Linked DNA regions of Tamandua tetradactyla. The protein of the gene in region 1 purifies or fractionates together with the protein of each later gene. This does not show direct contact. Links are inferred from orthologs where the notes say so. Each region holds a gene or a part of one and is shown on either strand. Other genes may lie near its edges.

Region 1 (6,896 bases):
AGTATATAAAATTCCTTTTTGTGAATATCCTGGTAGGAAAATGGACAATGGGCTAGCAATAAGATAACTTATTTGTTTATTGCAAATATACCACGATTACTTGGGTGCAGTAATTAAGCACAATCATATACTCTCATACAGTGCTGTGGGAAAATTCAAAATAACAATTATAACATCAGTAATCATGCCTGTTTGAAACTGTTGTATACCCCAGAAAAGCCATGCTCTCTAATCCTGATTCAGAATTGTTGGGTGGGATTTTTTGATTAAGTTATTTTCATGGAGATGTGACCTACCCAATTGTGGGTGGGACCTTTTGATTAGGTGGTTTCCATGGAGATCTGTCTCCACCCATCTAGGTGAGCCACTCACTGCACTCCTTTAAGAGGGAATCACTTTGGAAAAAGCTTGAGGGCTGACACACACACACACACACACACACACACAAAAGACTTTTGGAGATGGAGAAAGAAAATGCCCTGGTGAAGCCTTTTGAAATGAGATTCAGGGAGAGAAAGCTAGCAGACCTTGCCATGTGCCTTCCCAGTTGACAGAAAAACCCAATCATCGGCCCTTTCTTGAGTCAAGGTATCTTTCTTTGGATGTCTTAGTCTGGACATTTTTATGGCCTTAGAACTATAAACTTGTAACTTAATAAATTCTCTTTATAAAAGCCAACCCATTTCTGGTATATTGCATTTCCAGCAGCATTAGCAAGCCAAAACAGCTATTTATGGATTATGTGGTATACTTACAGTCTCATGTTTTTACATGTAGAAAGAAGTTGTAGCAACTTCTTACTACAACCTCACATGATAGCACAATTTTCCAGTTGCAGCACAGATTAAGCAGTTTTGCAAATCTCATAGCTTGTAGGTAACAACAAGGTTGACTTCTCCAAAGGCATAATACTTTTAGTGGCCCATGGAAATATTTTAATTTCTTTTCAAATCAGAAGAAAAAATGAGTGTTTAGGCCAGAAAAAATATTTTAATATACAATATCCATATATTCATCTTTATACCAAAGAAATTGTAAAATACAATTTTAACATTGTTTTATGGAGAAAGAGGCCCCAAAAAGAGCAAAAATGCCTAGGGCTTATGAAAATTAGAATATGGCTCCGGGTGGCAGTGTTGAGATTTTATTCCAGCCAATGAGACTCCTAAACTAAGCTTTTTCTTGAAGGCCAGTATGTTTCAAAAGGGTAAAAACTGCTCATACTCTTGGATCACTTTTAGGAATTTAAACTGAGATAGTAAGTAAGGATGTGAAAAAAGTTTATGAAAATCTATTTATAATGGTATTCATTTGAAACCAAACAAATACTCAATAAAAAAAAACTACTACCTTCTTGACCTAAAGGGAGAAGAAAGAAATTAGACAAAATAAAGTCTCTGGCTGAGAGATTTCAAACAGAGTCAGGAGGTTAGCCTGGGAGGTTATTCTTGTGCATTATATAGATATCCCTTTTTAGTTTATGGAGTGCAGGAGTGGCTAGAGGAAAGTACCTAAAACTGTCAAACTGTTTCAGTAGCCTTGATTCTTGAAGAATTTTGTATAACTATGTAGCTTTTACAGTGTGACTGTGATTGTAAAAACTTTGTGTCTAATACTCCTTTTATCCCATGCCCATGAGTAAAAAAAAAGAAAGGATAAAAAAATAATAGGGAGAGATAAAGGGTTAAAATTTGGGTAGACTGAAATACTGTGTGTCAATCAGAGGACGGGGTAAGGGGTATGGGTTGTATGAGGTTTTTTCTTTTATTTTATTTACTTTTCTGGAGAGATACAAATGTTCTAAAAATGATCACGGTGAAGAATACACAACTATGTGATGATATGTGAGTCACTGATTGTATAATATGGTTGAACTGTACATGTGTGGCTATTTCTCAATAAAAAATTTTTTAAAAATAAAAATAAAAAAAAAAAAGAACTGCTTCAATACTGGGTATCAACTGAGGGGCCTAGGTAAGTACTAAGAGCTTCTACGGAACTAAGCTAAAGAGAAAATCACAGTCAGAGTGGTGAAAGTAACAATATGGTAGAACAGGTAAGTGGAAGGAGGCTTGCATAAATTCGAGAGATGGAGCACAACCCCCTGCTGAGTATTTGTATGGAATTTCTATGGTGAGGAAAAGGTTCGAGGAAGCAGCCTGCATTAAGGCACAGAAATGAACGACTACATTCATAGAACTCTGAGAAGTTTGTTCTAACAGAAGGGACAGAGCATAAAAGAAGCTTCAAGTATCAAATTAAACTGTGCCTGGACAGCCCTGAAGAGCCAATGAAAGTTTGTAATCTGTGGAGTAACATGCTTAGAGATATATTTTAGGAAGATCTTTCTGAATATCTGTGTGCCGAATCTAGGTGAGAAGTCAAAAGGCAGGAACTAATAAAAAGGAGAGGAAAATAATGTGTATTCCTTCAAATATACAAGGAGTGTCAGAGCTCTTCTTGAGACAATTCTCTCAAAAGGCTTAGTTATGAGAGGAGAGAACTGGAAGGTGGGTTTAGTCAACGGAGAACTTGTTTATGACAGGAATCTTAAAATGTGATTATATTAAGGAGTTACAGGTAGTAGACAGGGTGAGGTCAAAGAGGGATCACAGGAAGAAGCACACAGGCGAAGAGGTTCACTTTGGAGAGAAGCGGAGACACCTAGCTTCTGAGACAAAGGGCAAAAAGTATGCGCGGGTATGGATGTAGGTAATTTGTGGGGTTAGGTGAGGCAGTTGGGGAAAAATGGCCCTTATTATCTCTACAAAGCAGAAGATGAGGTCATCTGGTGAGTAACATGGTCACTAGTGGTTGAAAGGTTTAGGTGGCGAAACGGTGAGAAAGAAGGAACACAGACAAGGAAATTTAAAGGGGGGGGGGCGGGGTTATTTCCGTGCTCCAGGGCAGATCCCAGCGGACCCAAGAGGAAAAGAGGTGAGTCAGCGCCTGGGTGATGGCGTGGGCAGTTTTAAGCAAGGGGGTCAGGTGACATCCGGAAGGGGCGGTTCTCCGGAAGTCAGGTGTCCTGAAGGGGCGGTTCCAGAAGCCATGTTGGGAGGGGCGACACAGCCTCAGCAGCTACAGTTGCAGTGCCCTTCCCCGTTTCCCGGACCTAACACTGTTTTCCGTCTGTGGGAGACTGGGGGAAGGGAGTCTTTCCACTTCTCTAAACCAATTGACTCAATTGTTTCATGGAGATAATCTACCCTACTTTATGGTCTATTAATTGCACAGACACATGTACTTGCCAATTAAGTATTAGCTTCATCACTGGGGTAATGTGGGCCGGGCCCGGGTGGGGTGGGGGGGAAATGAACATTTGAATTACTAATAAAAATGGTCTAGAAGACTTCTGGTTTTATTTACTCTTGCAATGTTCTGTGTCAAACACTCGGTGAAGTCAAGGAATATTTAGGAGCACCTACTTTTGCTACATAGCTTTGGGGAAAGAATGCCACTGCCCGGAGGACCTTCCTTGAGGTCACGCCCCCGGCTCAGCCGCGGACCGGAAAGTCAAGTCAGCAACACCCGCCGCCAGCTGGAAACCTCTTCCCAAATCTCGGCAGCGGCCCCGCCCCTTCCACAGGTTCAGGCCCCACCCCCTTCTCCCATTGGCCACTCCTCCATCTCCACTCGACCACTCCGAAGACCCGGAGTAGCGGAGTTTTCTAAAGGCATCAGTGGGGCGCCCTGGCTGCGCATGCTCGAGGAAAGCCGGATTCCGGGTCCAGACTTGGAGTCTCTGGGCGGCCGCGGCGCAGCGCGCGGTGTCGGGGCGGGCCGGCGGGTGGGGAGACGCGCACTCGGGCCGCGGCGCGCTCCCGCGGAAGGAGGTGTGGGTTGGGCTGGAGGTGGCGCGTGGCCGGGGTGGGGGTGGGGGGAGGGTCGGGAGTCGGCGAGGGCGGTGTGCGGGTTCCGAGTGGCTGCGGGCGGCCTGGGCTGCCGGGGCCGACGAGCCTGCTGTGAGATGGCGATCCTGGGCGCGGAAGGGTGAGAGTGACCCCGCAGGAGGAGGCGCCGCTGCCGTGGCCGTCCGGCCGCCGGGAGCAGACGGCTTCGCGCGGGTAAGGACGGTGCGGGGCGGTGGTGAGGGGCGGGTGCGGGCCCTGAGCCTCCGCGGCGGGCCGGGGAAACCCGCGCCGTGCGCACCCCGGCAGGACCCTCCGAGGGGCTGTCGGTGACGGTCAGTGACGGCCCGCGCCTTCCTGGCTGCCTCCCAGCCCTGGGGCTCCGAGTTTTGGGGGGTGGGGTCACGGGTCTTGCCCCGAGTTGGCTCTGGCGGAGGCCTCTGCTGCTGTTACTGGAGCCGGCAGAAGTGTTTCCGTGACTCTGCAGCCGCAGTTCTCAAGCTTCCTTAGTCTTCTTTTCGCCTCCGTTCTATCTCTTTTCATTTCCCTAACACCTCCTCACCAAACACAAATATTTTGGCTTAACTGCCGGTACCCCTGGTTTCACCGCAATTCCACCGTCTCAAACGAAGGACTCCCAGCCTTAGAACGTCTTCTTCTGACATGTTTTTATCACCCCCTGTTTTTCACTGACTGCAGTTCCCTTTAAAACAGCTCCCTCTTCCACCTTTGTGACCTGGTAGGTCCCTGTGACCTTGCAGTTTTTAACCAGTCCTTATCCCATCTATGACTTAGGACTTCTTTCTTTTTTTTATTTTGTAGTTTGCCCGTTGCTTTTACAACCTTTAAACTATCTTACGCACAACCCTTTCTTTACTCCATCGATATGGAGTTGAGCTTCTTTTGCTCCGATGATTATGTGAGACCTTCGTTACTGAAGTAGTTGTTATTTTGACATTTTTACTTCTTCATCCAGTGGCCTGATTTGGCTTTACAGTTTTTATTTGATGTTTCGTCTTTTTGTGTAGGCTCATGTGCAAAAAGATATGACTTTCTGCTTTAAGGTGCTACGGTTATAGTTATGGAAAAATAATGTCCCATTTTTTTTCCCTTTGGTCTTTTTTACCTGAAGTATCTGGTTTATAATTGTCTGCAGGTTTCTGTGAGAGTTTATACTTATGTATAAATCGACTTTCTTGTCTTATTAAGTCTCTGTATTAAACAAGCAAGATGCAGTGTATTGCACCTTTTAAAAAAAAGAAGGTATTCTTTTAATGTGACTTGTTTTGGCCATTCAGTAGTAAATCAATAGTTAATCGTTTTTAAATTAAATACTTGAGTTGACCAAGTGTTGGGTGCTACTCAAATTGAGACACATAAAGCATGTGGAATAGTTCATTTCTTTGGGATGTTGTTTATTAACATTTTCAAATAAATCTTCCTTTACAGTGCAAAACTGCTTATAAGTGCTGTGACACCACGGTTTTGAAAAGCAGTGATTTACAGTTACATTTTTTTTGAAGCTTGGCATGATAGAGGATGTCTGCCTTGGAAGAGATCCTAATCTTAGCTGTTTACCCCGTGCTGGCTGAATTTTTTTACTTCCTTACACAATTATTAAGTGTTTACTGCAAGACTGTGTGAGGTATTTAGGGAATACAAAGATGAGGATAACAGTCTCTGCCTTCAAACCTTCCACAGACTAGGTAGGTAGATAGTACTACACAAATGCCTCATTTGTCTTTTATTATATAGCTTCGCTTCATAAATGATACAGAAGTCCCCTAAGGACTTCAAAGTCAAAGGAGGTCGAGCTTATTTCATTCAGCAAGGTAAGGCTAGGGAGTTAGGATGCTTCTGGCTTCTGAAGTCTTGGTTTTGAAGGATTACTGTGACTTTGATAGACAGTGAAAGGTAATACACGCAGAGTAAAGGGTCTAAGAGCAGAGTTCATACATTCACAGAGAGACCAGTAATTATGTTTGATGGAACATAAAGTATTTGTACAGGAATAAAGGATGATAAAACTTGAAGTAAAAATTTGGCCCAGTTTATGGATTGCTTGTAATGCCAGGTTTATCACCTTGGATTTAGTAGGCAGTGAGGTTCCAGAGAAGATTTTTGAGTTGGGGATGCAACGACTAAAGCTGTATTTTAGGATTAATCCAGTAGTCGCGTGTGGGGAGGCCTCCCCATTGCTCTCTGTCTGGGCTATAGATAGTGACGTAAGTATCAGAACTGAGGTGGTGATAATGGGAATGGAAAGGAGAAAGGGAGTAGAATAGACCAGATTTGATGATGAAAGAAAGAATGAAGAAAATATAAAATATCCAAGATTCTGATCCAGATTGGTTGGGAGAATGGTGGTAACATTTTGAGCAAAATCTTTGGAAGCTTTAATCCCAGTGCATGTATGTTATTTTACAGCTGTAGTTGTAATTTTGAGACAACTAACCATCTGAGACAACTAACCCTTTGTGAAACTAAAGAAATCAGTTGGCTTGAAAAATTCCCATATGCACCTGTGCTTTGTGGATTGAATTATAGGGAAATCCATACACCACCTGAAGCTCAACCGTGGAACCTGTGGACCAGTGGGTTGGGTGGGGAGGCAGATCTCAGAATGATCTGGGAGCTTTATAAAACAATAGAACTTTTAGGTTCCTCTATCCACACTGATGAAGAACCCCTGCTGTAGAGGGTACCTAGAGATGTAATATCTTATGCTTGTGTTGTACTTCATAGTTTATAGGAATTTTGACTAACATATTCTTTCCTATTATATTATGAAACAGACTAACCCAAGAGGTTAAATGATTTGCCCTTAGTAAACAAGTGGGTAAAGTGGAATCAGGAGTTAGTTAACTGACAGTGATGGTTTTCTTTCTTGTATGAAGATAATATGATTTACCATCAGTTGGGTATAGTTAGTGCCTCTAAGTGACTTCATCAGGGAGGATGATATGAGTCCAGAAGGTTCCTTCCACATCTTAACATTTTGTGATTCTTCTGTTTAGGTTTTCAATGGAATCTTTGTATCTTTCT
Region 2 (6,986 bases), on another chromosome or scaffold:
TGTGGGTATGATACTAGTTTCTCCTTCATAGGGTTACTATGAGGAATAAATACATGAATAGTTATGAAGCATTTCTGTCTGGCTTATTACAGTACAATGTTTGTTAATTAAAGATTAAATGATAACACTGAACCAGATGTGTTGCTATAAGCCAGAGCATAAAGATGAGTAAGATCAAGTTCCTGCTGTCAAGACACTCACAATTCAATAGCAAAAGAAAGGCAAAACATTTCTATTTCTTTACCCACCATTTTATAGTTAGAATGAAAATGTCATTTTGCTATTAATAAATTCAAACGTCTTGGTTAATATCTAGAGAATAGCAAAAGAAAATACTCTCATATTTTCTAGAGAATGAAAGAATGTGGCCAACACAAGAAGTGACGATCACTGTTTGAGGGGCTTCCCTGTAAGAGGCAGCGTCACAAACCACAGTACACTTTCGGGAAGGTGGTCATGACGATACCCTGAGAGAAACCATTAAGGGGATTGGAGTATTTAGCTTGAAAAAGACCAAGTTGGACCACAGGAATGCTTATCCAGCATGGAAGGGCTCTCAGGTCCAGAAGAGATGACACATGTTGCTCTAGGAGGCAGTATGAGGACCAGCTTTCAGTGAGCCTCACTGAAGGCAGCTCTGGGCTGTCTTCCAAAGGAAAGAAGATAATTGGAATGAGCACTGGCTTAAAAGTTAGAGAGGTCTGATTACCAAACCCATCTCCATGGAGCCAGGAGCCCCCATTCCAGTTGATTCATGTTGTTTCAAGCCTTTGTGGGGAGTGGGATCTCAGGGTTAGAGGGGGAGGGGGTGAGGGAGGGAATGTTCTTTTCCTTGAAAGCTCAGCAAACTTTCACTTGTCCTTGAGGTCTCAGCCAGAAGGTGATGGCAGTGATTAGCCAGGGAAGCTAATCCCTCTCTCCTGCATCAGCATTCCACTTAGAATATACTTCCAGCCCTACCAGAGTCATAGATTCCCCTGTTGTTCACACGGTGAGTCTTTGAAGACAAGGCATACGTTTTCACTTTCTTTCTTGCTTCATCTGGCTTCCAGTCAATGATGGGTGAATGTACACATTTTTTCAATAGTGACTATCACATGGCAAATCTGTTCTTGAATCAAAAAGCCCAAAGTGTTGGGAAGTACAGAGCAGTCATTTTTGCTATTGAGGCTGACATATTTTCCCCATTCTCTTATTCATTTGAACAAATATACTGCCAACACCATTTACCTGATGTCCAGGGGAATTTGTCCCCTAAATTCTCTTTTGGAACTGAAGAGAAGACCCCTGATCCAGGGTTGAGTGCTGTTGGCAGTGTGTGGTGAGGATTCAGAGGTCAAAAGTGATTCTAATTTCCTAGTTTGGGCTCCTATTAACCCCCATCCCCACCCCAGGGACCATTTTTCTCTGAGGGTTGGGATATTTGTACAACTTAAATTCTTGCAGAGGATGATAATTTATATAGCTGGTTTCATCTAGGTAGTGGCTAAGATTCCTAATTAAGTATTCACCAAGCTATCAAGGCAGATTAACATCTTATCTCCTAAAGAAATATCTGTGAATGCACTACCAAAGACAATTTTCTTCCCTATTACTGAGCATGTTTTTATGGGCAGGCCTTTCTTTTTTTTCTTTAAATTTATTTATTTGTTTATTTTAATAGGCAACAGTCACGTGAAAAACCATGTATAATATGCCCCTTTCGGGGTAACAAGAGGAGGTTAAATATACATATATGCAATTGCTTATATAAGTTCAGAATATCTATCTCTTGAAGGGTATATAGGAATATGTCAATACTGGCTACACCTAGGAGGGGAGCTAAGTGTCAAGCAGGCAGGGAGAGAATGAAACTTTTCACTTATGCTCTTTTGTATCTTTTGGGATTGAGCCATAGAAATTATCCAAATTCCTTAAATCCAAAACATAAGCCAATAATAATTTCATGTCTAACACTTTGATGGGGTTGTTCAAGTGACATTGCTGCCAGATTAACATGGTAGAGGGAAAACAGCTTAAATACTTGGCCAGCAAATGACATCTGTTGCTGGTAACGGAGGAAGTTCAACTTGGTTGTCTTAACATGGCTTGGGTTTTACACTCATTTTCTATTTTTAAAATTCTTTTATTTTCTTCCTGATTCAATTAACAAGTTTTTATTTAGTGCCTGCTCTCTGCCCAGCACTGTCCTAGGAATTCTAAGAGATATAAAAGAAGCTTCGTGAAACAATTTTGTAAATTCTTGCCAAGTGTGGAGATCAGTGTGGAATGGGGTGGCTAGAAAGTTGTCTTGGAAGCATTGAGCCTTGAGCTGAGCTTTGGAAAGAGGCTGAGATAAGTAGAAGGCGTGCAGAAGATGCTTAACGGGCGCAGAGAGTGCACGGTGGGGAGAAGAGAGAACTAAAAGTGATCAGAGAGGCTAAGGCCAGTTTAGAAAGGACCTGATGGAGAGGTAATCCTAATATTAGCATGGAAAGAGGAGAGAAAGGAAACCAGGTGCAAGAAGACCAGGGGATAGCTTGTTACAGTAATCTGTACGTAAAATGAGGGTTTGGATTACAATGTACAAGAGGTTATGCAAAGGAAAGAAAGAATTCATGAGACTTTTCAAAGGAAGAAATATCAGGTCTTGATGGCAAGCTGGAAATAAGAAGGGAGAAAGGTCACACATAATTTCAATATTTGTAGCTTGGGAGAAAAATGACTCATTTTCATTTCTCTTTTTTTCCTCACACACAATTTGAAACCCTCCTAATGTCCAGTTGGCGCATCATGACAAAAATAATCTTTTTTTTTTTCATTAGAAACATGTTATCTTGTTTGCCTCTATCTACAAAACCCAAGCTGAATCCTGCCCTACATTTTTCTATGCTAGCACTCACACCTTTGTAGAAGGGTTTACTGCTCAGGCCTTGTGGTGTGTGGTTATGTTTAGGAGCCACTAGGCCAAAAGTTCTTTGTGGGCAGGGAACGTATTTTATGGATGGTAAGTACTCAGTAAGTGTGTTACTTGTTGAAGAAAATGGGATTTAAATAAAATGAAACATTAAAAATTTTCCAGAAGTAACTGCATTAAACAAATCATTGAAATTAGAATTTGCATGCATTAAAAGCTTCTCTGCTTCAATCTCTTAAATCACTTGTCAAGGAAGATCACGTGATTTTAACCGCGTTAAGGTCACAGTTTAACTTCTCAGTTTAAATGCTTCAAAACAGTAAAAATATACTAATACTCTGTAATAAACGTCGCTAAAATGAACCGGAATTGAATGAAACACTTCACATATGTTTTACAGAAGTTTTTGGGTAGTGATTACTATTATCACCGTTTAACAGGATAGTAAACAGGAACAGAAAGGTTAAAAAATTTGCACAATGTCACCCAGGTGATAAGCGTTGGAGCTGGGATTTGAACCCAGGTAGTTTGAAGTGGAGTCTCCAGCCCTATTAGCTTTACTCTATATTGCACATACGTAAAGTGCTCATAGTGTGTGCGTCTTAAATGGAATCTTCAAACAATTCTTTTTTGGGGCACTACAGGTTATTTGAAGCATACTAATATATCTTTTTTTTTTCCCTTCCCAACCCAGTATTGATCGGTGTCCAGTTTTATACAGTATATCCTTAAAAGGAAACATGAAAGGAAGAAATACATTTGTATTCTCTTCAGAAATGTACAAGAGTAAACGAATTACTCTTGCAATAAAAGCATTTTACAGACCACCGAATAAAAACCCCTTTACCTGGAACCGAAATAATACCCCCCTCCCCTCGCTTTATTAAAAGCCTCGCTTTATTTGGAAACTCTTTAAATAAGTGGTCATATGATTAAAAAAAGAAGCGGCGCGCCCCCTCCCCGGCGGCCGGGCGCAGCTGTCCGCGCCTCGCCCGCGCCCAGCCGCCCGCATTCCAATTCTCTGAGGTCACCGCCGCCGCCGCCCCGGATCCGTCCACCCGCCGGGCCCAGGGGGAGGAACGCCTGGCCCCGGCCCGCTCCGCTGTCCCGGCCGCGTGTCCAGTGTCCGTCTGTCAGTCCGTTTTCCTGCCGCCCGCGCCCCCGCCCGGTTTCTTTGCACCGCGCCCCCCAGCCGCTGGCCCCACCTCCCAGCCTAGCCTCTCGCCGTCGCCGCGGGCTAACTGTCCAGGGGAATGGTCTACGGGCCGACTTTTTGGAGACAGGAAGTGAGGAATGCGAGCCCCATGAGCGCGCCACGGCGCGGGCTGGCGTGCGGACGAGGCTGCAGCGGCCGCGCGACTGGGCCCGGGGAGGCGGGCCGCTGAACCCGCGCGCGGCCCCGAGGATGCGGGAGCGGGAGCAGGTGAGGGCGCGGGGCCCCGGCGGGCGGGCTGTGTCCGTACGCAGGGACCCCCGAGCGCACTGGTCAGCCCTGAAGTCCTGGAGGATGGGTCTCGTGGATCCGACAGATGGCAGACACGTAACAAAGAGAAAAGTCTTCCTTTTCCAGGTTCTCTTTGATATATTTGAGTAATTTTATTTTGACCGCCTCAGCTAATTGTTGGCGGCTTAATTCTGGATCAGATATGTAAAAGTCAGACATAATTTGTGCTTCTCGGGATCTGAAAGTGTGAAATTGACCACATAACTTTGGCGAGAGGGGGCGGAGGGAAGGACTGTTTTGGTGACGTCTTGTTTTGTTTTGGGAGTAATGAGTGTTTAATTTAGAAAAAAGAATTCTTGGGTCTGCAAATTCCGACTTGTGATTTCTGCAAATCCCGATTAGATTGACTGCTCTTGGCAAGCTCGTACTATTTTCCTTTTTGCTGAGAAAGCCTTATGATAATAGCGTATGGTCGCAAACACATTCAAAACACTCGTGTGCTCCATGTGACAGTATTAGGATATGGTAGTAATTTTACTCTGGAAATATTTACGTTTTGTTTCTAAGGTATTTCATTCTCCACTGTCTTTACCCAGATATCTTATTTGTCCATGAGAAACATGTTTCATTTAATATATAGATTTATTTTTATTTTATTTTGGGGGGGAGGGTGCATGCGCCGGGAATGGGATCTTCGGCATGGCAGGAGAGCTTTCTACCACTGAACCACCCGTATACCCTAATGTATAGATTCAGATAGCCTGAAAGTATCATATACTTTCTTCCTGTAGTGATTATTTTATTTTGGAGCAACTTTGGCAAACTGACATATGGTGAGGGCAATAGAAGCAAGGGGGAAAATGCTACAAGATTCCAGGTTAACGTGTATTTGAGAAACTTTTGGAAGGGGTTGTGAAGTGCATAAATTATAAGGACTTACAAATAGCTCAGACTGCCTTTTGAAAGCTTTTACTGAAGCAGAATTTAATGTGTTTCTGCTGTCTTTAGTACATAACTGAAAAGTTTTGTAAAGAAACAAAGTATCTCCTAGACTTTTCTTCAAAAACCTATTATTTAGGAATTATCTGTTTACTTTAGTAGTTAGATAAATTATAACTTTATACCCAACTGCTTTTCTAATTATTGCATATTATTTTACACCTAACACGGACAAAAAGCCTGATCACCTTAAACTTCTGCTATTCTTGATTTTGATACTACTTTCAAACATTCATAGTCTTATGATATCACTTGAAAGCAAATATTGTCCATGATTGAAAATTAAGATCAATAAATCAGTGATAATTTTTCAAAAATTTCATTCAGTATAACACTATTTCAACACAATGGGTTTCATATAAATATGTAAAAAGCAAGCCATACTCATGGATGTATCTTGTGAAAAAAAATGCTCCCTATAAACACATACATCAACTTTTTAAGTTACGTTATAACATCTTCCAAAATAAAAAAAACTCAATAGCAAAAACTTTGACTTCTCATTATCCCTGATGCTGAAAAACATTTCAAATCTCAGGGACAAATGAAAGTTTGCTTAATCAGAGCTTAAGTTTATTAAGTTATGTAGTGTAGTGTCTACTGCCTTCAAGGCTTAGTTCTATCTTTGTAGTGAAAAGACTACCAAATCTGAACTCGTAGTACAAATATTTCTCTTTCCTCTGCTATATGCAATATCTTGTTCATCTATACGACTTAGTCTGTCCTGTTTCCAGTTACCATGATTTGTATATAAAATTGAAATCCACTACTTCATCTTCTGAAAGGGTATTTAGTATACGTAGTATGTTAAACATACCTAATCTTTTAAATTTACACAAACACTGCTGACTTAGGTAATTTTCCAATTAAAAGCTATCAACGGCTGTCTTTTCCTGATTTTTATTTCTCATTTTGCTCTAATTATTTCTAGTTTATACCTCTAAAACAAACAGCAAAGAGTTTTGAAAAACTGCAGGTGGAAACTATCTTTATAGAATTACTTTGTTTCCTTCAATAGTATAGTACTTTTAGTAAGCTACAGAAGGCAGTTAGAAAATGCTCTTAGTAAATGCTCTTAGTTAACACTGTTTTAAGTGGTTCCATTTTTGTTTCCTCTGGCCTTCCTCTATACTGTTTAACTTTTATTTTTCTGGCTATCCGAGGATAACTAGCGCTAGAAAAGCACAACGACAACAACAAAAACAGCAGACAGGGAGAAAACCGTGGTCGGTTCCTGATTAGAGAACTCTGAGTGTAATTATAGCATCCTCGTAATCTCCTTAAGGAGAGAGACTGTTTGGAATTCGTCTTTGATTTCTCACAATGTCTTCTGAACTGCCTTGTATTCAGGCAGGCAGTACTCATTTGTGGACTGGAATTTTCAGTTTGTTAAGTTCGCCAAAACCTAGTGTAATAGCTTAAATCCTATTTCTCTAGTATTGCCATCCTCCAGTCTTGAGTGGCATCACTTCTGAGGCTAAGACGCAGTCGGGAAAGCGAGAAATAGTAAAAGCACTAGGGGTGAGGGACCTGGGGTCGACTGCCAGCTTAGCTTGTCCCTGTGTGAAGCTGAGAAAACCGCTCTCCTTTTGAGGCTTGGGTTCCGTGTCTGTCAGATGAGAGGGTTGGGGATCGCCTGGCCGATCC

The links. The genes of interacting proteins can lie anywhere in the genome.
Region 2: the proteins of WWP1 (region 1) and PTPN21 purify together in Homo sapiens (affinity purification with mass spectrometry; 3 studies listed by BioGRID). This does not show direct contact. The link is inferred for Tamandua tetradactyla from reciprocal best matches to the Homo sapiens genes WWP1 and PTPN21.

The regions. Positions count from the first base shown.
Region 1 is NC_135332.1:129,826,981-129,833,876, forward strand, and holds the start of WWP1 (NEDD4-like E3 ubiquitin-protein ligase WWP1), read left to right. Parts: upstream 1-3,880; 5' UTR 3,881-4,067; intron 4,068-6,896. UniProt on the Homo sapiens protein: E3 ubiquitin-protein ligase which accepts ubiquitin from an E2 ubiquitin-conjugating enzyme in the form of a thioester and then directly transfers the ubiquitin to targeted substrates.
Region 2 is NC_135338.1:48,817,532-48,824,517, reverse strand, and holds the start of PTPN21 (tyrosine-protein phosphatase non-receptor type 21), read left to right. Parts: upstream 1-3,982; 5' UTR 3,983-4,319; intron 4,320-4,325; exon of another isoform or gene 4,326-4,466; intron 4,467-6,986.